3 linked regions of the Lepisosteus oculatus genome follow. The protein of the gene in region 1 purifies or fractionates together with the protein of each later gene. This does not show direct contact. Links are inferred from orthologs where the notes say so. Each region holds a gene or a part of one and is shown on either strand. Other genes may lie near its edges.

Region 1 (7,469 bases):
AGTCGCCACTCCAAAGGCCAGTCATCCTAATGCTCAGTGTAACAGCACTTTATGTATTTGTGATTTGTAATTGACATATTTAACCATATGAATTTATGATGCACAATTTTCATCAAAAATGTGTGTTTTGAGCTTTGGAGCAGAAGGGATTCTTTTTCCTGTCATGTGCTTTGCTTTTATCGGCCATGACATGTTATCATGTAGCTAGAAAGCCTGCAGCTGACGGAGAGAGGAAGCCCGTGCAATAAGGGCTATTTTAGAAGTGCAGATATTTACAACAAAAAAATGATCAACATTCGAAAAGGCATCCTATGATGTTGCATAATGTGCTATGCCTCTTGCAACTTCCTTCCTTTGTGTTACATTGCTGGTCCTGGTATCTAGACAAGTGGAGATAGAAGCCTTTATTCGAAATGAACGGCACTGGGTACTGCAATAGTGATTAAAGGAGATAAAAGCACTTAAGTGATTCTTTTTATTCATGCATCTTTATTATTTGTTTTTCTAATTGTGATGTAAGGGAGTGCTCTTTGCCAGTATCAATGGGTTGCATATTTTTTAAAAAAATGTTCCGTGTCGGAGCATTACAAAATTAACCTCTTTATGTGCCCAAGTCCTGTTTTTAATATTTTGCTCACCAGGGCGTGACCAACAACAGAAGCACCGATAACTGCACAAAACAGAAAAGGGAATGCAAACAAAACACAGGGCGCCGATCAGGCAAACTGATTTGACTAATTCTGAAAAGGGGGACGGTATACTGCAACATACACTGCATACACATTTATTGTCTTATGCAAATAGGTCTGTCGCCCGTATCAGCCCTGCCTAAAGGATATTTTACAGAAACCGGGCAGGCCCTGCCAGCAGTGTTGGTTTGCATTCTTTTCAGAAAACCCTGGAGTTCCAGGTAATGGCTAAGCCCACTGTAGAAGGTACTCTGGTGGCTGACGCACGGAGAGGGAGGAGAGCTTGAAAGAGGCGGGAAGGTGGTGCTTTGTTTTTGCCTTCCTTGCGTTCTGTGACGGCGCTCTTGCGTGCTGCAGGTGTACCTCCTCATTCTGAGCGTGACCACCCTGAGCCTGCTGCTGGCGCCCGTGCTGTGGAAAGCCGCTACGCTGAAGTGTGTCCCCAGAGCGGAGCGCTGGACGAGCACCTGACTGTGGCGCCTCTCCTCCCCGCCGCTTCGGATCTGGGGCCGGTGCCGGGTCCGGCTAGAATTCCGTTTCCCAATCATCGTTTTCATTGGGTTGGGCCGGTCGCCGTGACAACACGACGCTGTATTTCATCAGACACTTAACGTCCTGAATGTATAAGCGGGAGACCCTGCAGTTTTGACTGCCTTGGCCAAAGGAGCGGTCACTTGAGTGTGAAAAACAGCGTGATGAGAGAGTTTGGATCAGTAATTTCGATTTAGTATTTTTGTACAATGTCCAAGGCGAAACATTTGTGGTTTCTGGGAGTGATCATCCTGGGTAAAGCATGACTTTTTAACAAAAAGTCTTGTCAGTTCAAAACTGATTTAATATAAACACTGTGTCCTGAACAGTCGGGAATATGTGTACATATAATTTGCTCTTATTTGGTCTGTCTTTAAATTATTTTGACCTACAAGTGTTTGACGTTCCCTGCTTCACCTAGAAAAGTCTGTAATTTTGAAAAGAAAAGAAAACTGTAGAGAAATATAATAAGGCTGTAAAGGAACTCGGGAGCAATGAAGAGGGGCCACTTGCTAAAGAAGAAACATCTGTCACAACGTGGACTGAAGATCCATTGTTGTCTGTCATGCATGATATGTCCATGTTCACACATGGAGGGCCTTCAGCTGGTTGAACAAAAGCAGAAGGCAGGATGCACCAGCTTGTATGTAAATATTGGCACTTTTAGAGCTCTGATATAGCTTGCTTATTATGTTTGACCTAACTTGTCTGAGCAGGTGCTTCCTGTAGGATGTTTTTAATGTGAAACATTATTTGAACCAGTATAGGAGAGCTAATTTGGGGCTTACAATGTTTGTGATTTGTAGGGTTGTGTCAGTGCAAAGGTCTATATTTTTGTATGTCATGCCTTATACCTGCTGGCATGAAAAATAGTTCTTGAAATTCCTAATCGTAGCCACAGAGCATGCAGGCCAAATCAGTTGCTAATGTTGGTTACATTACTGACATTCCAATCCTGCTGATGACACTGTTTTGAAATAATTTGTCTTGAAAGATTGCTCAGGTTCAAGACCTACTCTTTTTAAAAAGCATCGTAGCAGCAATTTCACATTAAACTTTATTTTTTTTAATACTGTCAGAATTCCTTAATTCAGGCTGCAAATCAGGCAGTTTAATTTAGGTTTAAACCGTTAATTGGTTTGATGTCCTCTATCTTCCATTAGATCAAAAGACAACAGCTAAATTAGGAAGAAAAACAATAGATCTTCGATCAAAATTGCACGCTTCTTTTACCGAATGCTTGTTTTAGAGTAATATTTATTTTATTCTATTTTCAAAAGAGTGGACCCTTTCCAAATTATGAATGGCATAAATTATTGGATTAAAGACATGGTCTGCGCTGTTCCAAGGCTGTCTTTGATTGAAGTTATCTGTCTAAACCTTTTTGTGTTGTCTGAGCCCTTACGGTCTGAATCCTTCAGTTTCAGAAAAAATGTAAAATAAGTGCCTTACAATACATTCCACATCTCCCTTGTGTTACCTCGCCATACACTGCATGGATGTCACGGTACCTTTAATATGCTTGCACCTACGTACTTCTTAGTCCTTAAACTTCATCAGCATACTGTAAGGGGGTTCTTAATTCTTTGACATGGGTTTTCTGGCCTGTGCTCAGTATGAAGTAAAACTGGCCAATTGACCAGTTTTCCGCTTGCTTATGTCTAAAAGGTTTGTGTGTGTTTTCCAGATGCTTTAAGTATCCGTTACAAAATCTGGACTTTCTGCGTTAGTCCAGTGCGGCGCAGGTAATAAGGCATCCATGATAGTCATCCTTCTCATTCTAAGCACAACCAAAGAAACCCTTTTAAACACTTACTGTGGCTTTTGTTTTTCTAAAACACAGAAATGTGTAACAGTAAATTTGAAATGGGTTTTGTTACCAACGGTTGCCTTTTTGCCAATTCTCTTTTACGTCCTGTAAATGTAAAGCGCTTTGCTGCTAAGTGTTTACATGGCTTTCTGCTGGGATGCAGATGAGCATGGCTGCTCTTGCTTTGAATGCATACCGGAGGCACTGATGATGCTTTGCTTTGCAGTGCTTTGGCAGTCAGCTTGGGAAGAATTGTGTGATTACAATAAAGGGACCCATTCGGGACCTAGAGCGTTCATGCTCCTCAATAGATTGCACTTGTGAGTTTAAAGAAGGTACAAAAGTTTTATGAAGTTAAATTAAGGTGTCAGGTGTTGTTCCAGTCTATATAGTGCATCACATCCTGTGACCATAACACTAATATTTTTGTAAGGGGAATGTTTAAATAACTTTATTCAGAAATGAAATATAACTTTTTTTAAAAACAAAGTGGTAGCAGTGATTATTTTATTCGGATGAATCAGATTTCAAGCACAAGCGTTTTAGGAATCTTTATTTTTTATTGGTTTAGAAAATGGTGTTCAACGATCCAGACTATGTGAATTTATTTTGTTGTCCATCTAATGTAATGTGACTTTTTTCATTCCACGCATATCAATGTGTAAAGTGCTGGGAAGGATTAGTGGATAAATAAAAATAATAATAAAATAACATAACATTGGAATAAATGTGAAGTATCATTGTGATTTGTTAAAGTGCTAAACCACAAAGCTGTGAAAGTACAAAGTGGAATGTATCTTATTTTATTCCATGATGTAGATTACTTTATTAATGACCGACAGAGAATGCTGTTTCCCTGCCAGCATTCCTTGTTAATATTCCAGTTAATCACTGGGATTACTTTAGGAAAAACTGCCCGGTTGCTTTAGCTCAAGGCTTCATTTTAATAAATAACAATAGTTACAGTATTATGCCATCTTATAGAGAACTTAATTACACCACTTCTCATTGTTGAATAATTTCCTATCATATTATTTCCGGACTATCCAGCTCTGTTTAGGTTATTTAATTTAACTCTCAGATGTAATTTACAAACATTCCTAGTGTTTTGAACGGGTATGTTATCCTTGGACACCTCGGGCTACTGTAACATTTACTATGGAAATCGGATACATTTTTTTTACACATCGAAACCCAAAAAAACAAAAGCCAATCCGATCCCACCAGCCACCTCTCCACTCCCAGCTCCCCCTCTATCCCATAACCCCCCGCGCCAGGTGCCTCCACCAGAGCGACGGCTTTACCGCCAGCCATTGCGAGAGGGGGAGGCGTGGCCTCCCCACCCGCCCCCCCCCCGCCTCCTCCCGCCGGCGCGATGACGTCGCCCCGTGCGTGCCCAATGGGCGCGCTCGTTTTGTGGACACCGCCAAGATCAGTTTTGTCGGCCGGAGAGCAAGGAGCACAGCGCGCTGGAAGAGGCAGGCTCGAGTTGGGAACCTGGCGCTGACAGGTTCTAAGAAAACACCGGAGCGCACGGGATAAAAAAAAAAAAAAAAACATTCCGTGGGTGGAATCTCCCGCGCCGCGCCACGCCACGCCGGGGCAGGGTTATGAGCCTCGGGTTTTGAGCAAGTAAGTGGCGGACGGACCAGTAACCACCCCCCCCCATCCAGCGCAGAGCAGAGCGTTTCGTTTTACGCGAGGGAGTAGTTTTGACACAGATGGCTGAGGCGACATTGCAGGCGAGCGCCGGAGGGGTCCGCGAAAGTTGAATCCTTACGCCAGGATTGCACGCATGCGAGCGGGGACGTGGGCGATGCTGGCTTCGCCGTGGCCCCCTGCGTGACGAGGGCTGCAGTCCCGGCTTGGTGTAGCCAAAGGTCTTTTATTCCCCACCACCACCTCCCCTCAATCCTCTTGGTTCTAACGGCAGTGAAAGTCGGTGTGATCCAGGTCCCAGCTGGGTTACTGAAGGGGCGAAACGACCTGGGCTTTTTTGTTGTTGTTGTTGTTGTAGCTTTGGGTTTGACGTCCCGTTCCAAGGTAAACACAAACCTCTAGCTTCCTTTGCGGCGGCGACCCCGGCTCTCTGCCTCCCCAAGCACGAGTTATAGCCGTGGTCTGAGATGAGACGGGCGATCGGGACAGAGATGAACTAGCCGCCGTGCCTGCCCTGCACGCTTGAACCCGGGGGAGACGGCCCCCAGGACAGGCGCCGGGACCCCCACGGCTGTGCTGCCGGGTGACATGCCGGAGCCGGGACGGGGGCTCGGAGCAGCGTGCGGCGGCGGCGGCCGTGAGAGGCCAAGATGGCAAAGCGACCATTTTGTCGAGGACGGGCTTTCCGAGAGCACGCAAGGGGCTGCGTTTTGAGTCCTGCGTGTCGGCGGTGTAGCTCGGGGTGGCGTTAATTCTGACAGAATGGCAGACTTGGCCCTTTTTTGTGTGTGTTTTCTTTTCAGTTTGGGGTTTCCTGTTGGGTGTACGGGTTCAGACCACCTCTTCCTCTCCCACTGCCAGCCAGCCAGCGCAGGAGCCGGAGTGCAGCTGAATGACGCCGGGGCAGTTGTAAGTTTGTTGCAGTTGATCGGAGGTGGTCGGTGCCTTTTTGTTTTTGGTGGGTTTGGGGGGGGGGGGGGGGGGGGTCGTTTTATTTTCCGATGAGCTGGCGAAATGAATTCGCGTGTGGTGGCACATTGTAGCAATCGGGGCGTGCAAGTTCAGATGTCTTAGATTTTTGCTGTAACCACCTTTTGGTTTTTAAAGAGGACGTGCGTTTCCGCGTAAATACTTTTTTTTTTACCGAAGGTGCAATAGGAGGATTTTCGGGCAGGTTTTAAGTCCTCACCCCCCCCCCCCCATCAAGGGGACACGTACTGTATCGCCGAAGCAGGTTGCAACAGTGGCCGGATTAGTCCGGACTCTCCAGTTTCCAGAAACGCGTAGGCCTCACGTCGCCTGTTTTTCTGAAGTTGGGACAAGCCGGCACGATCCAGCCCAGTGTGTTCACGGCCTGGAAGCGGGCTCCCATTTCGCCCAGAAACGGGTTTTGTTTATTTCCGACGGTGCACCTTTTTGTGTTCACAACGCCCGTGCCCGAAGGAATGGAGATGCTGGAGTGCCGGCCTGCTCGGTGAAAGGGATTCAACTTCTTTGGGGACGGAGGTGGGGGGGTATCTTTGCAAAAAAAAAAAGGGCAAAACAAAATGAACATCGTGCTTCCTGAAAGGGTTCGCGTTTTTCTGCACGGTGCAGGCTCTCGGGTGCTGTGCCCACGCGTTTAAAACGATACTCTCTCAGCTAGGACAGACCAACCGGAGGCCTAGCGCTTGTTGGGGGGGCCGCTAATGTTATTCAAACGGTCAGGCTGACACCCGGACACGGCTTGCATGTCAATGACAGGGGACTCGTGTCCCTTGTGCGTTAAAATGGACACCACTTTCACCCGGCGAGCACCACCGGCGCTTTGGTGGCAGCTTTGTAGCCGCCTCCTCCTCCTCCTCCTCGTCGTCGTTAAGGAGAGAGTGTGTCTGTTGGGTGGTGTTGACGGTGTTCAGTCTGGCCTAGAGGGGGGTCTCTCGGGGCCCAGCTGTTGAGCTCAGGGGTGGTGGGGGGGGCTCTCAGTGTCTGGTGTTTTTATTAGGCGCCCAGTACCTTTCTGGAGGGGGTCCTGACAAGGCCAAGAGACACCCTGAGCTTTGATGTTTTTTTTTTTTCCCTTCCTTTTCCAGCTGAACTAAATGAACACCTCTCGCGGGGAGCTCGAAAGGTAAAGCCTGCAGGAGGGCCGGAGCCCGGTCCGAGTCCGAAACGGCGCCCCACCCACCCCCAACCCCCCACGCAGGCGGGTTAAAACCGGGCTGACTTCTCTCTCTTGCAGGCAGGCCTTCGCAGAACACCCTGAGCCGTTTTCTCTCCCTCCCGAGACGCCAGCGCATCCCTTCTCCCAGGACTCGGTATCATGGCGAAGGATGTGAGTGAGGGGGTGGGGAGGACACTGGCAGGGGCGGGCTGCGCCTCGGCTCTGTGGCCAAGAGGCCTGGGCTCTGTGCTCTGCTGTTGAGACGGCAGGACCTTCTGCCATCGGGTGGGGTGGGAGAGAGAGAGAGCTCATTCCTCATCCTCACTCTCTGGAGGTTCTCTGTACCCTGAAACGTCGAAGCAGAGCGTCCTGGGTCTGTACAGAGCCGGCCCGCATGCGTGCGTTCTCGGTAGGGCTTACTAGTCGTTGACACGACCTCGCCATTTTTTTTTCCAATCCCGATTACTTCCCTCCAGGATTTCGGTCGCGTGGAGCACCGGCCGGCCGTTAAACCCTCCACACGCCAGGCCGCGTTTGGCAGTCTCTTCTTGCAGGCTCGTGGCCTGGGTAGCACCCCCAGCGCACGCCTGGGCTCTGCCGAAGATTGTGGGTTTCGTGATGGCAGGCTCGAGCTGCA
Region 2 (7,577 bases), on another chromosome or scaffold:
TGGGGCTTGTAACTCGCTCGCAGGTGCGGACTGGCGCCGGGCAGTCTGCCTCAGATCGCTCCCGCCTTGCAGTTAAAAAAAAACCCAGAAACAAAAAAAAAATCTATTTTTTGGTCCCAGTGCTGTACGCACACTAACCTCTTTTCCCCACTGGTGAGCTAAAGACCCACGTGCATCGTTTCTGCCCTACATTAGAGGTCACAAGCGTCCTGGAAAGACAGGAGTGATGGCTCCTGCTATAAACCCCCGTTTATGTCCTTTGAACTCCGTCGCTTCAATTTCAGATTAAGATTACACGAGTAGTTTTAACTTGTTACTTTGATCGTACGGGTAGGCCTTTAGTGACATCACTGTCTTCTCTAATCCTCTTGAGTTTTTAAGTGCTCATTACAAATAATAATAATGTATTCATTTCTTTGATCGCGGCGATCCACTCTCAGTAATTCTCGAAACGAAACGCCTAATAGCTTGGTTAAATGATGTTTGATTGATCTAAATTTGCTAGTTCGTGTATTGTAAATACCCTCATACTGTCGAAGTACAGTGCGTTTTGTATTTTTTTTCCACGGGCCTAAGCGCCACCCAGTGAAAGAGACCCTGTGTCCTGTTATTAATCCCAATGCCCAGTCAGCCAGACTTCCTCATTGTGACAAGTTTTACTCTTCTTATTCTATACAAGTCTCCTTTGTAGTTTTGATTCATGTCTACTGTTGTTACCTTCAGCTTCGGTGGTCGTACTAAGTTGGGGTGTTTATATCTGAATCAATGTAAATATAACTCCTGCCAGGACGGTGGATTTGTCTTGCATGACTGGAGCGCCACCTAGCGGCCCAGGGCGGTAGCACAGATCGAATCTTGTGTCCCAGTTGTCCTGTAGGTGTAGCCTACGATAGGTATTGCATCTTTTTTATATATATTTTTACGGAGGTCATACACATATGAGTTAACTGATTGACATCTTCAGGGAGATGTTTAATTAACGGCACTATTTATGAAGGTCAGAAGACAAGTTTCTAAAGGTGTCCTCCTAATGGAGGAGAATTATACTGTATATGATCAAGTACAGGAGAGTCCGCAGCATGGTGCAGTGGTTGCTGCCTTTTAGTGCTGGGGCCCTGGGTTCGATTCCTGGGGTGCGATCTGCATAGGGTATGTATTTTCATCCTGTGTTTGCGTGGGATTCCACAGGGTGCTCCAGTTCCTTCCCAGAGAGCTAAATCATACTGGTACTGTAGATTAATTGGCCTTAGCGAAAATTGGCCCTGGTGTGAGTGTGTGTGTATCTGACCTGTGATGGACTGGTGTGTCCAGGGTTTCTCCTGCACCCATTGCTTGCTGGGATAGGCTCCGGCTCCCCCACCACCCTGTATTACATTAATCAGTTTGAAAATTGAAAGACAACCATTCTGAAGCTCAGCAGGTGTGAGCCTGCTCGGTACCTGGATGGGAGACCTTCTGGGAAAAGCTAAGGTTGCTGCTGGAAGATGTGTTAGTGGGACCAGCAGGGGGCGCTCCCCCTGCAGTCTGTGTGGGTCTTCATGCCCCAGTATAGTGACGGGGACACTATACTGTTAAAACCGAGGTCCCGACTCTCTGTGGTCACTAAAAATCCCAGAGCGATTCTCGAAAAGAGTAGATGTGTAACCCCGGCATCCTGGCCAAAGTTCCCATTGACCTTTACCAATCATGGCCTCCTAATAATTCACATCTATGAACTGGCTTCATCACTCTGTTCTCCTCCCCACTGAGAGCTGGTGTGTGGTGAGTGTACTGGTGCACTTTGGCTGCCGTCATATCATCCAGATTGGGCTGCACATGGTTGGTGGTGGAGGGGAGTCCTCATTACCTGTAAAGCGCTTTGAGTGGAGTGTCCAGAAAAGCGCTGTATAAGTGTAAGCAATTATTCTGTATTCATATATAGTACATGTATTAATGTATTCATTATAAGATCCACTCACACCACTCCACATCACTCCCCTGTGGAGGCAGCATCACTTTCTGCTTGACCGAGCAAGTTAGGAGCTTCCACTCAGAAACCCTGTCGCTGTGGTCTCCCCACTGATGTGCAGTTGTCTGGCCCCAAGCGTCTTCCAGGTACGCACAGTTTAGATGTGTGCATTTATATGTCGGAAAGAGCATAACTGACAGGAGGCCATATGACACACCATATTCACATTCATTCATTTCTGTTCAATTCGTCTCCATACTAACATGGAGAAAACCCCCCTCCATGAAGGAAATTGCCTTTAACCCTCCAAAAAAAAGGGACGATTTAGAGTGGCCAGCCATGCCTAAGACGTGAAAGAGTGACCAGAGAAACCCCACATGAACATGGGGATGAACTTGCAAAGTTAGCAAGTTCCAAGGCTGGAATCGAACCCAAGAGCCCAGGTCTGTGAGGCACAAAATCACAACATGGCCATGCACTGGGAGTGGGGATGGGGTCGTTTTCTGGGCCTTCCCTTTTGCTGTTACTACTGCACGAGGGACAAACACAGACCTGCTATAAGCACTTGAAGACTTCAGGCTGGAATTTGTTTAGTGCTTATTGTGTACAGAAGATGCCAGAGAGCAATGGGAGTAAAGAAGATCACCAAGGATCTGGGGACCCACATCGAAGTTAAGAAGGTGTGCTCATATGACCCATAGGAGAGTGAGAAGCTTTTCTTTACACAAAGAGTGGCTGGGGTCTGAAATAAGCAGCACCTCCATGCTATATAGCCCTATTATATTATATAGCCTCTTGGAGATCCTCTAAGAACTGACCAGAAACAATTCTCAGATCCAAGTTAACTGTCACAAAAAGAGCTGGATCTCTTTTATGTTTTTAATCCATTTGGTGAGTAAGTTGAGAGCTCCAGTCCTGCATGATTCTCGCGCAGCTTGGTACAGTCTGAAAGATGAAAAGATAAAGGCCAATAGGAAAGTCCTGTTTCAGGTAAGTATAAAGCATTAGATCTATATTATTTACTCAATGGGCTCCCTAACACTCTTCTCAGTGAGTTGCAATATGTTCAAAACTCTAGACAGCTAGACTACTAACTCACACCAGATGCTAGCATCTTATTACTCCTCCACAAGTCTCTACACTGGTTGCCTATAGAATCATGTATTCAAGATAAGATCTTATTACTGTTCAAGGCTCCAACATACTTCTCTGAGCTCCTGCATGTCTACACTCCCTCCTCTAGCCCCATTCAGCTGAGACTGGTCCTCCGCTCACAGTACCCAGGACTAGATCTCGGACTCTCGGGGACTGTGCTTTTTCTATCACTGCCATTATGTTTTGGAGAGCCCTTCCTCAAGACTCTCTTCAAATCCAAAATCAAAACTAACTTTTTTCACCACAGCCTTTATTTGATTGACCTTTATTAATTGCTTACACTTACACTTATATAGCACTTTTCTGGACACTCCACTCAAAGCACTTTACAGGTAATGGGGACTCCCCTCCACCACCACCAATGTGCAGCATCCACCATATTCTATCTATATGATACCATGTGTTCTTATTTTTTTAAAGTTTTTATTGTACTTTTTGGGTCTTTTTCTGTGTACGAACAACTTTGAAAGGTATTATTTATAAAATGCCTTCTAATGACGCTGTTCATCATTAATAAGAAGACGAAAAAGTACAATACAAAGTAAATCAAGAATAAAAATAATAATACAGGTGTTTACAAATGTAGGCAAGCAGACGCAGATCTTGGTAAAAAGGTCAGTTTTAAGTTGAGATTTGAAGAGAGTTAAAGAAGTTGTCTCATAGAGTCTGAGGAAGGTCATCCCACAACGCTGGAGTAGCGACAGAACCAACAGTCGCCAAAAGTCCGTGATTTAGTGGGCACAGTGAGGAGAGGACATTATTATTAATACTAATATTATTATTAAGACTTAAACGTTCAGTTGCTGCAAAATGTATACTCTACACACAGCAATATATAAGTAAATATATAAATAAATACGTGTACATCATGTATATAAAGAGCTGGTCACACTCAGTTGCTTGGCTAAGCGTTCAGAAAGCCAGGTAGCAGAAAAGGTTGGGGCGCAGGACAAGCGAGCTCAGCCTGAAATTCACTTTAAAGAAAAACAAATCCGAAGCGTTCAGTTTTTCGTGTCAACCCCCGGATGTACGATTCCCCTGAGGCTTGAAGAATATTTACATTACAGTCCTCCTGGTGGTATTCAGGCTGAACTACGTTGGTAAATAATCGGATTTTTTTTTTTATGGGAGGCAGCTCCCACAAGCTGCTTCTTAACAAAGTTCTACTGAATACGATGCAATCCTGCGCATTTCTTCAGGTCCCCAAATGTCTGATTCGAGTTGCTGCCTGTAAGCAATTTAAATGCAGCAGGTAAATAAAGAGTTCAAGCTTAGTCCAGAATATCGGCCTCTGTCTCTTTAAAGACAGGGACCCTCCCCTCGCGCTCCAACAGTTCTATGCAAATAACCAACAAACGGGCAGCATTGTGACCAATCAGAGCCGAGCTCCAGCCGCGGGAGATCCAAATTTCGCGGGACGCACTTTGGCGCTAAAACTGCAGGTCTGATCAGCTGGGGAGTTGAAGCTGTTGTAACTTTGAAATAGCAGGAATTCAGCAGGACTGTTCATGCACTCCGATGAAAATCCGAAGCATCCTGTACAAAATACACTTGTATTAGGGATTCTGATCCAGGATTGTGAATCTGCAGACTTTGCTGAATCTGGATATGCCTATATTGGAAGGGATAGGCGGTATTTTTTGGATTTTTGACACTATTAGAGTTGGAAGTCCACTTTCATTCTCTTGCTTTTCGATGCAGTAACCAGATCTAGGTCTACGAAGCAATTTTGTTTTAGATTAGTTTAAAAATACTGAAATCTTAAAAGAGGTGGCGTTTACTACAGATAGATTATTTAAGACTTTATTACTTGTGTGTATTCTGCGTATTTTTAGCATTTTAACCTATTGTTTATCGACAATCGGCAAGAGCAGCAGTCAGCTGCATTGTTTTTAATATTTAATCGTTTTTATGAATGCACATTTCTGCTAAAGCTTCTGGAAGCCGGTCGTTCACACAAAAAGGATATACCGCATTATTATTTTTTTCCCCCGATTGAGTGGCAGACTTGAGTGGGGAATTTTTAGCAGAGCAGAATAAAAGATGATGCGGTTACCCAGAGGGGTCTCTCCGGCTTCCGGTAAGGGAGCAGTTGGCTTTTCGGGGTCGACGAGGAAGGTGTTAGCCGGGGCAAGAACCGAATTATTCGGTACTGAACTGTCGAGTCCTCCGATCAACTCTTTATCGTCCGGCTACCTCAGCCAGATCTGCAACACCGCTTCTGGGGATCAGAGGGCGAGCTGTCTGTACTCGACCCCCCACGGGCCTGAAGCGAAGCCCATCAGAGCTACCTCCGGGAGGCTACCGGTAAGTCCGCAATGATTTAATGCGCTCCATCTTAACCTTTTATTTTGAATAAAGTGCCCTTTCTTACACCTTGCGGTCTAGGATGGTACCCCCGTAGCTGTAAGGCGTGTCGTTTTGTATGCAACTTTAATGTTGCGTCTCAATCGAAACGTCGAGTCAATATGAGAATTTCAGATTGACTTTACTGATCGCTTTAACTGGGCTGGATGCGTAAATTTTGCGAGCACAAGTTTAGAGCTCAATCCGTGTCGCGTTATTAAATGTGAGTGTATGTGCGGGGGGTGGGGGGGAGCGATGGTTTAATTTTTCGGCCCAAAAAATTGCGAGATTTGTTTAATTGTGCAGTGCTCGAGTCTGCGGCGCCCAGAAGTCGTTCAAGTGGCGAAGGGCTCTAAACGGTGACTCGCTTTGGAAGCGAACGCAAAGTCAGTGGGGCCGCCTTCTGAAGCGGCAGTAAAAAGATGGAAGAGGAGGTCTGGGCTTTTCCCGCGGGCGGCGTGGAAGGAGGCTGCGGCTCCCCTTTGATAGAGGCCGTGGTCTCGCATCCCAGCTGTTACAGCCTGAGAGAGGGGGTCAGTGGAGGACCAGAGACACGCCTGAAGAGGGGGGGGGGTACCATAAGAATAGCCCGAGACAGAGGCACAAGACCGGGAGATGTGCGTCATTAAAACGGAAATGAAACCTCTCCAATGGTTCCCAAATAATACAGCAGAGCGTGATGAAATATGAATAAAACGAGACAGTTGAATCGTGTGCGCTATCCGCTAATTTTGACCAACTTGCTCCATTCATTCTGCACAGCTGTTGGTGTCCTTTTCCGGTGGTTTGCCACTCTGTGTGACACCTGCTGTACTCCTAGTGCGTTCACATCCACACAACCTGCCGCTGTCACTTCAGGGTGGAGAGTGCAGAGGTCAGGGGTCAAGCCCTGTTTGCGGCTGCAGTGGGCAGGAGGGCTTCGGGGGTAGGTCTGCGCAGGTGTAGTTCGGATGAATTCAGCTGTTCGCAAGGAAAAGCCAGTTTAAGGCGGAGTTCGTGCGAAGGTGTTTCTACTCCAAACAAAAAAAAAAAACCAACAGTTTAAAAGCCTCTGGGGTAACTGGATCGAAGTGTGATGAGCAGTTTTTTTTGCTTCTCCTTTATGAATGAATTGCTTGAGTAGAAGTGCTGAGACTGTATATAGCCTCAGATGGACGTAGATGATGTTTAGAAAAAGCAATTGGAACTTGCGCAGTTCAGGGTGCCTCCCTGCCCCTTCACTTCAAATTTTCAAGAACTACAAAAATATGGTCTTCAGCTTTTTGTGGTGCACATCAGATTTCCTGGGTGCACCACGTCAGTTGAAGTGATGTTTGCAGCGTAACCTGGTGGTGCCACATTATGAAAATAGCACTTGATTTGACTTTCTTGGGTGCTCATGTCTGCCCTATCAACTAACAGTTGATTTGCATGAGAGAATGTAGGAGTGTGTCACTCAAACCTGCTCTGTATTTTTTCTGGTATAGGGTAAGCCTGAAGGGGAGAGGGCAATTATTTTTAACCTTTGATTGGATTGAAGCACAGGGAAGTAATTGCATCTGTCCCAGCCGGATTTACATTGAACTACACAGGTGTGCAGTATTCTGGTCCTCAATTGCTCAAACTCACAGCAATATGTGATGCTTTGTTCCTATTACAGGTCGTCTTTTTAAGTTGTTGTGTTGAGAGGAAAGCACTGCATCTTGACCTCTTCACAGACTATTCTGAAATTTCTGTGTTTTTTGTCAGCTGTGAGATGGTGCATTTGTTAGTACAGCTACTGCCAAAATTAGTAGTTTGCAGGAACATGGATTATTACTATTCTCAAACAGGAAAGTCACTGAAAAATAAAGGTCTGCGTTGTGCTACTAGAAAAATCGTGATGTAAAGGTATAAAAGTGTAAGTGCTTTGATTAGGATCTCAATACAGTGAACAACACAACTGCATAGTAATTAAGTTTCTTTAAGGGGCAGCAGTGGGCAGGGGTCTGGGCCAGTAACTGGAGGATTGGGAGTTCAGATCCCAGGTTTGTATGCAGAGTGGGGAACACTCCCTTATTATTCTGGGGCAGTGCAGAGTGGTGGCTAAAGCACTGTACTCCTAAAAGCTATTGATGTTTGGAGGTGGGCTACCCCGATTTGTGCAGCT
Region 3 (7,112 bases), on another chromosome or scaffold:
TAAAATTGAAACTACTGTGGTAATGTAATGTAGGCCAGCAGCCATATCACCCTGCAACTCACAACTAGCAACCCACTGAAGCTAAGCAGGTGTGAGCCTGGTCAGTACCTAGATGGGAGACCTCCTGGGAAAAACTAAGGTTGCTGCTGGAAGAGGTGTTAGTGGGGCCAGCAGGGGGCGCTCACCCTGCGGTCCATGTGGGTCCTAATGTCCCAGTATAGTGACGTAAACAGGTGCCGTCCTTCGGATAAGACGTAAAACCGAGGTCCTGACTCTCTTTGGTCATTAAAAATCCCAGGGCGTTTCTCGAAAAGAGTAGGGTGTAACCTGGCTTCCTGGCCAAATTTCCCATTGGCCTTTACCAATCATGGCCTCCTAATAATCCCCCCTCTATGAATTGGCTACATTACTCTGCTCTCCTCCCCACTGATAGCTGATGTGTGGTGAGTGTTCTGGTGCACTATGGCTGCAGTCACATCATTCAGGTGGGTTATTATTATTATTATTATTGTCCCTTCCAGGCTGTACCCTGCCTTACGCTCTTCTCCTGCTAGAACAGGCTCCAGCTCCCATGCGACCCCAAACTGGAAGAAGCACTTAGGAAATGGATGAATGGATTTGCAAATATATTTGCATCAGCAAATGCAGCACTTTATAGAGGGGTGTATGGTATATATTCCTTTACACATGCAGATTCTCATTGGAAATGAGAAAAATAAGTAAATAAATAAGCTTCCTGAATTGGAAGACAGGAACTCCCCAAAATACGTCAAATGTACCTTCATCTAAATACTTGCATGTGGCCTCAGTCTTGTTCCACTTTGCCTCCTATTTTCTGTTACATGTTAATTGTTTGGAGTAATTCCCACTGCGTTTCTAACATTTTCCTTTTAGTCATGACAGAAAAACATGCTAACATGAAGGATTAAGGAATTTGATGTTCAGAGTTTGAATTGAATGCTTGAATTACAGCTTTACTGTTAACGTACATTAGCACTCCTAATTTTTTTTTTTCCTTTGTGTGTTGTGGAAGGGAGAAGTTGAAACAGAAGCTCACAGGTTTTTATTGTCCTTAATAATTAACAGGCGCCTGCTAGTCATTCAGAGTTGTTGAGAGAGAGAAAGAGCACAGCATTAGCTACAGTAACATCTCATGTGGTAAAAGACAGGAAGAATTCCACCTTTTCTATCAGGGAGAAGAGGAAGGTTAGAGAACAATCCCAGCACTCCATCATGGGGAAAGTGAATAGTATACTGTAATTAATTACAGAAATGTAATGTTTTATTATTAAAATAATGTAGTGCATAGGATAATAACAGTTGTCAGTGTGAAGGTATAAGATATAAGAGTGCATTACTGCTTACATAAATGTCAGCATATATAAAGATTTTCTGACTCAAATTAAATGTATAATTCAATCACACATAATATGGTCAATATTAATCTGGGACTAGGGTAAGATATATAATTACCCCTGAATTTTAAATTAATTTAAAGCTGTTTTTTTAGTTGCTTGGTGCTTGTTCTATAAACATGGTCTGGGTAGAGAAGTGCAAAAGTGCTTGTCTGTGGAATTTTAGCTTTGCTTAGATCTAATCCTTATTCCACGCCCAAATCCAGCTCCAAAATATATGACCAAAATAACACTAAACCTATATTAATATACATGAGTAAATGGATCAGGAATGTAAGTGTAAGTATGTGCCTAACATGTAATCTGACTCTGACCAAGCCCTTACTTTAACCTGAATTCATTAAAAAAAGTAATCAAAGCTAAATATTAATCTTCATCTTCTATTCTTAAGATTTTCACCTTCATCAACTTAAAATAATCTGAAGACCTCTTCCTCTTCTTGAGTAAGAAGACATGAACACTGAATCTTGTAACACCTCAAAAATGATCAGTGACAAATATCCTGCTTAGAACCAGAACATCTACTTTTGCTGGATTTAAACCCTAAACTGGGCAAAGTCCTCTAGTCGGGTTTCTAGAGCATGCTTTGGCTGTGGAACCTTTCTGCTCATCACTCCTTTACTTACCCACTAGGAACTCTCATTAATTCAAAGTAGTTTTCAACAATCTCAGGGTACATTTAGGTGTAATATAGGTGTTAGAAATCTTTTGAAAAAAAAAACTCAGAAAACTGGGATTGTTTCAAAAGTGAGGGTTAAGTGAGTGATAACTGAGCACTAAATCAAGGGTTGGGAATTTTCCCGGGACTTGGATTAGGGTTAAAAAAAAAAATCAACAGTTTAACTGCAGCCAGGTCATCGCTTTTGAATAGTCCCAATTCAGAAAGGGAAAGGGCAAAATTGAGACTTGGCATGAACGTTTTGTGTGATGTGAATCTCGGCTTGTGCCAAATTGGTTCATCCTAATGCAAAGTCTCCAACATCATTGAGAGTACAAAAATGGAAATTACATCCAAAACACCACTCATCCTCCGTTTTTAATCGTGACAGAAAGAGAGTTATGACATTAAATAAAGCCTTTGTTTAAGGGGAAATATAATCTTAAATTATACTGCACGCATACCCACCAAATAAGATTGTGGTTGCTTAAATCTGACAATTTACAGCAGCCATTATTTTATACACAGGTTGACTCGAGGATGGAGATACAAGTAGGAAAATGAGCAAAGTTACGATTTGTTGAGTTTTGGAAGAATTTCTATTGACCTTTGATGAAATCTTTGATTGGGTCTTAAGATTGTGTTCAATGAGTAATACTGTACATCTAGCGTTAGTAATACTGTATGTATTACTTAAAGTTAAAGTTAGAAAACTAACAGCCATCACTGTGCTTGAAATGACCTGATTAAAACAAATTCTTACCCTAACTCCATTTACACATATATATCCTACTGTAGGTTTTAACATGTTTCACAGCCTTTACCAGTGAACCTTTCAACTGTTTGTAGTGTTAGTACACTGGTAGTTTGCATAATGAGTTAGCAGCAAAATTGTACCTGCTAGGATTTATCATAGTCAGTGTTGGGGTGAGAACCACACAGCAATACTTCCTAAACTGCAGCAAACTCCATAACGTCAGAAGACTGTGCTCTTTATCTTACCAGATTTCAGAGGGTTGATGTCACTTCTGTAGCATGTTCAGTGAACTGAGTCCTGTCACACAGACATTATAGGATAGTGGGAGATCTTACAGGCAGATTCTGAAACCCTACTGACAATACATCCAGAGTGTAAATGTAAAAAAAAAAAGAGTATGGTTAGTAGGATATGATTGTGGTATAGAATAACTGATTAAAATATTTTAAGTTGCCTTGTTACCACGTTATCAAAAATGGTATATTTAAAGTTCAGTTACAGTGATTACAGCATGTCACGACTAAGAGCTCTGGTACCCTTTCTGACACTCCCTTTCTCGACCATTCACCTTGATCTCCACCACTTCGTGGTATACACCTTGAACACTGGTCCTACATTTATGTACACCCTCTGTTCCAACTCAGTACAAGTCAGTGAGGACATCCACTTCTAATCCTAGGGTCTTTGGTCGCCTTCCACACCTCAGGAAAGACAAGAACTGCGGTCAAGCCACACGAACCTTATCTTAGCCAAAAGGTCGTTAATGTTTACGGTGTTCGCTGACTCGCATGACAAACTGCAGTATAAGCTAGTGTTTAAATACATACTTTCGTTACTAAACGGTCGCCCTGTCTCAAATCTTACCATAAACTGGATACGTTTACCTGTCTTATATCATGTTTATATAGACACCAGTGCACGTTAAAGTTTTAAATCAGTAAACCATCGTAACATATAATTAATATCACAACTATTAAGTTCACACCTTGGTGAACAAGCACTAAAATATAAGAAGGAATAACCACCATCAAACACCGAGAAGAAGGGAATCCCCTTCTGTTTCGTCCAATCACCTTTTTCCTATGTAAATAGTTTTCTTTGGTACCTTGGCAACGGTTTTTTTAAGCATCCAATGGCGTGCCAAAGCAGACGTACTCGCATTCTGATTCGAGTACAATTGTTGTTACGTCAGAAAATGGAGGCGGAGACTGGTTCCAAGATGACCAATAGCTTTGAATATGCAAATCTCGTTTGAAAAGTTCCCGGGAAATCTGAGTTTCGCGGGAGGGTCTTTCGCGCGTAAACTGTATCCCTTCATTCATTGTCAGCTTCCTGGAGCCATTTTTCAGCTGCAAAGACGGAGGCTCTTGTCAGTTTTAAATCCATTGCATCTGGCTGTCTGTGTTCTTAATATTAACTTAAAATTAGTAATATCGGTACATTAGACTCTCTTCTAAGTTATACTGTTAGTATTTCAAACGTTGTTGATTTGGATTTCGAGAAAATCGGCTCCAAACCAGAGGAGGGACAAAGGGCAGCCGGAGCAAATAAAGATGAGAAAAGGGATCTCCCCAGCTCCAGAGAAAGTAATAGTAGCAGGGGTTGGAGTCCCAGCCGTTGAAAAAAGTACTGTTTTAACTGGACTGTCAGAAAGTTTTACTTCTAGTTTTCCCAACGCTACATATATCCAGATTATCACCCCGCCGTCCTGTATTCCACAGACTACGAATGTCTGTGTGTCCGAGTCGCCAGCTGGCAGTTTGATTTACTCCACTCCTCACGGACCAACAAACGGAACGGGACAACGACCTGCATTCGGACGTCCACCGGTAACTAAACTGCTCATGTAGCTTAAAAGAAAGTAAATAATTGCAAAACTCAAATGTTTCTGCGTCTGTTTATAATATGCATACTCGCGGTCGAGGGATCACAAATTCGGGGAATGGTTGCTTATCTACAAATTTGCTGCAGCGATCTTACTGTTAGAACTCATCTTTTAGATTTATAACACGGCCGCGATAGCAATATAGCCTTTTCGTTTTAAACCGAAACTTTTCCTTCCTGTACTGGCCTAAAAGGGGTCACACCCGAATGTAAAAGGTCAATTGCTGAAACTCTTCCGCTCTATTTACAAGACGTATTAATAAACTGCTCCTGTGACAAAAATGACATTCGTGGTGCTGCTTTAAGAAAAATACGGAGGACAAATCTAAGCAATAATCGGTGTTATTTTATATGGGATCAGTGTATAGGATTGTCGTGGCGCTGTCTTGTGGGGAAAAACCAAAACGCTAGGCCCTGTTTTCGTGTTTTTTTGGAAAGGGGGGAAGGGATCTGTCTCTCGCCACCTTCGAGATATCCACACACATCTCTCCATTCTTGGGCAGTGTAATCGTTTTAGCAGTGTTTTGACTTCTGGGACTAAAAACCCGGAGCACGTCTTGTTTAAGCGAGGAGTATGGTTTATATGGCAGAGATGACTGTACGTGCAAATCGAATATTACCTTTGACATATAAAGCACACAGGAGTTTTTCGAAAACTAAAACATGCTCGGAGCAGGTGATGTTTGTGATAAGCGAAGTCGTAGCTGTTTCCTAATCACTTTGGCCCATTTTCGTTTGTCACCAGGAACGTGTGCATATCTTTCTTCAATTTTGAAGAGTTTGGAAAACTACAGTGTTCTGCAACACCCTGTAGGATACATTTAAAAGCAAAATGACATAAAGGAGAGATGTCAGTACTTTAAATGGAACGTTATTTTCAAATATATTAGCCACATAGAGGTAAATGTTTTACTTTATTTCAATTGCTGCACATAGCTATGGCCTGTATAGCGTTCTAGCTCTAGAAAGACTTTCCAATGATGATGAAGCAATATTAAAATTAGGGAGACAGTGCTCTGAATGGAGCTTAAAGAAGGCACTCTTCTGATGTGCAACCCTGATTTGCTTCCCCACAGCACTTCCTTGATTCTCTGGAAGAATAATTTTAGGCCAAAATCAAACTTTTTAATATGATGACAGACACAAAGGCCTGGATAATGAGTTAATATGGGTATAATTCTGTACCCCGATACAAATTTGCCAGTTTAACTTCACATTGTGCTGCAACATTTGCCAAATACAAGAAAGCAAGCTTTAACTCTTAACGGCATGTTTTGTGACACGTTATGGGTTTGTTTCAGGCCCTTTCTGTCTTAAGCTAATTGTATTTTATGGGCAGTGCAATTTGTAGCTGCCTGAACCTTGTTCATGGTGTTCTGTATAAGGCAAGCTGACACTGGCTGGGCAGCAAAATCTGCTGTGGATGTAGACATTCAGTAAGATATGGAACATTTTTGGTAAATGGTTCTGTGTTAAAGGTGAATTGAAAGGGACAAAGAATTATTCGAACATAATGTAGCCTGGTATGTACAAAAGAAAGATTTTAAAAATTCAGGTAAATGGAGACAAGACATGGAGACAGTTATTCAAAAGGGCCAGTGGAACTCATTTTAGCCTGGGTTCACTTCCCCTATGTGTGACAGGCACCTTCTCATACAGGTAAAATACACTGCATACATATGTTTAGACCTTGCCCTTCTAACATTTTTCCTAATTTGGACCCAATATATAACAGATGTGGGCAGACTCCTGCCACTCTCATATACATGTTTGATCTTGTCCTGGGCTGGTTAATTTTTGGTCCTCCATTTTTGACACTTTCTCTCATATTGCTCATCTTGAAATTGAGACTGCTCCTTACTGGCATTTTTATCGTGCAAACCGATAGCTTCCTCCTATCAAACATTTTTAAAAAGCAAGCCTGTCTTTCTAGCTTTTCTTGTCGGGCACCTTTTCCTCTTTAATTGGTAGCAAGCTGCCTCAAAGATGATGCTGTTTAATTTGATGAAAATTAGATACATACTTAGTCCACTATTCATTTTTTTTAAATATTGTCAAACATTTCTGAACAATTTAAAAACTTTGAGCCTCACTTCTACACCCTAATGTTTCTGTCGCTAATTGGCTGTGCAGGTGATACCTGATGAGACTGGCTCTTTTTTTTTGCTTCCTGGAGACTAGTGCAATTAGTATTTTGCCATTTTGAATTTTCTGTCTACTCCATTTTGTGAGGGAAGATTTGGGAGGGATGTGAAAAGGGGTTAGGAAATTCTGTTTTTTATTTTTAAGTGATTGAAACTGATTTACATTTCCTGTCTCATTAATATGTAATATGTAACATGCATCTTGGTGTTTGGTTGATTAAAAAAAAGATTTAGGTAAATCACATCACTACCCT

What was found.
Region 2: the proteins of tfdp1b (region 1) and e2f2 purify together in Homo sapiens (affinity purification with mass spectrometry; 3 studies listed by BioGRID and IntAct, with this or other methods). This does not show direct contact. The link is inferred for Lepisosteus oculatus from reciprocal best matches to the Homo sapiens genes TFDP1 and E2F2.
Region 3: the proteins of tfdp1b (region 1) and e2f3 purify together in Homo sapiens (affinity purification with mass spectrometry; 3 studies listed by BioGRID and IntAct, with this or other methods). This does not show direct contact. The link is inferred for Lepisosteus oculatus from reciprocal best matches to the Homo sapiens genes TFDP1 and E2F3.

Annotation. Positions count from the first base shown.
Region 1 is NC_090710.1:28,862,685-28,870,153, forward strand, and holds the start of tfdp1b (transcription factor Dp-1b), read left to right. Parts: upstream 1-4,457; 5' UTR 4,458-4,662; intron 4,663-4,708; exon of another isoform or gene 4,709-4,910; intron 4,911-4,916; exon of another isoform or gene 4,917-5,073; intron 5,074-5,492; exon of another isoform or gene 5,493-5,598; intron 5,599-6,761; exon of another isoform or gene 6,762-6,799; intron 6,800-6,910; 5' UTR 6,911-6,991; coding exon 6,992-7,003; intron 7,004-7,469. Other genes in the region: tmco3 (transmembrane and coiled-coil domain-containing protein 3), read left to right, coding at 1,047-1,160. UniProt on the Homo sapiens protein: Can stimulate E2F-dependent transcription.
Region 2 is NC_090706.1:10,811,409-10,818,985, forward strand, and holds the start of e2f2 (transcription factor E2F2), read left to right. Parts: upstream 1-4,562; 5' UTR 4,563-5,146; coding exon 5,147-5,410; intron 5,411-7,577. UniProt on the Homo sapiens protein: Transcription activator that binds DNA cooperatively with DP proteins through the E2 recognition site, 5'-TTTC[CG]CGC-3' found in the promoter region of a number of genes whose products are involved in cell cycle regulation or in DNA replication.
Region 3 is NC_090705.1:12,634,524-12,641,635, forward strand, and holds the start of e2f3 (transcription factor E2F3), read left to right. Parts: upstream 1-4,097; 5' UTR 4,098-4,383; coding exon 4,384-4,659; intron 4,660-7,112.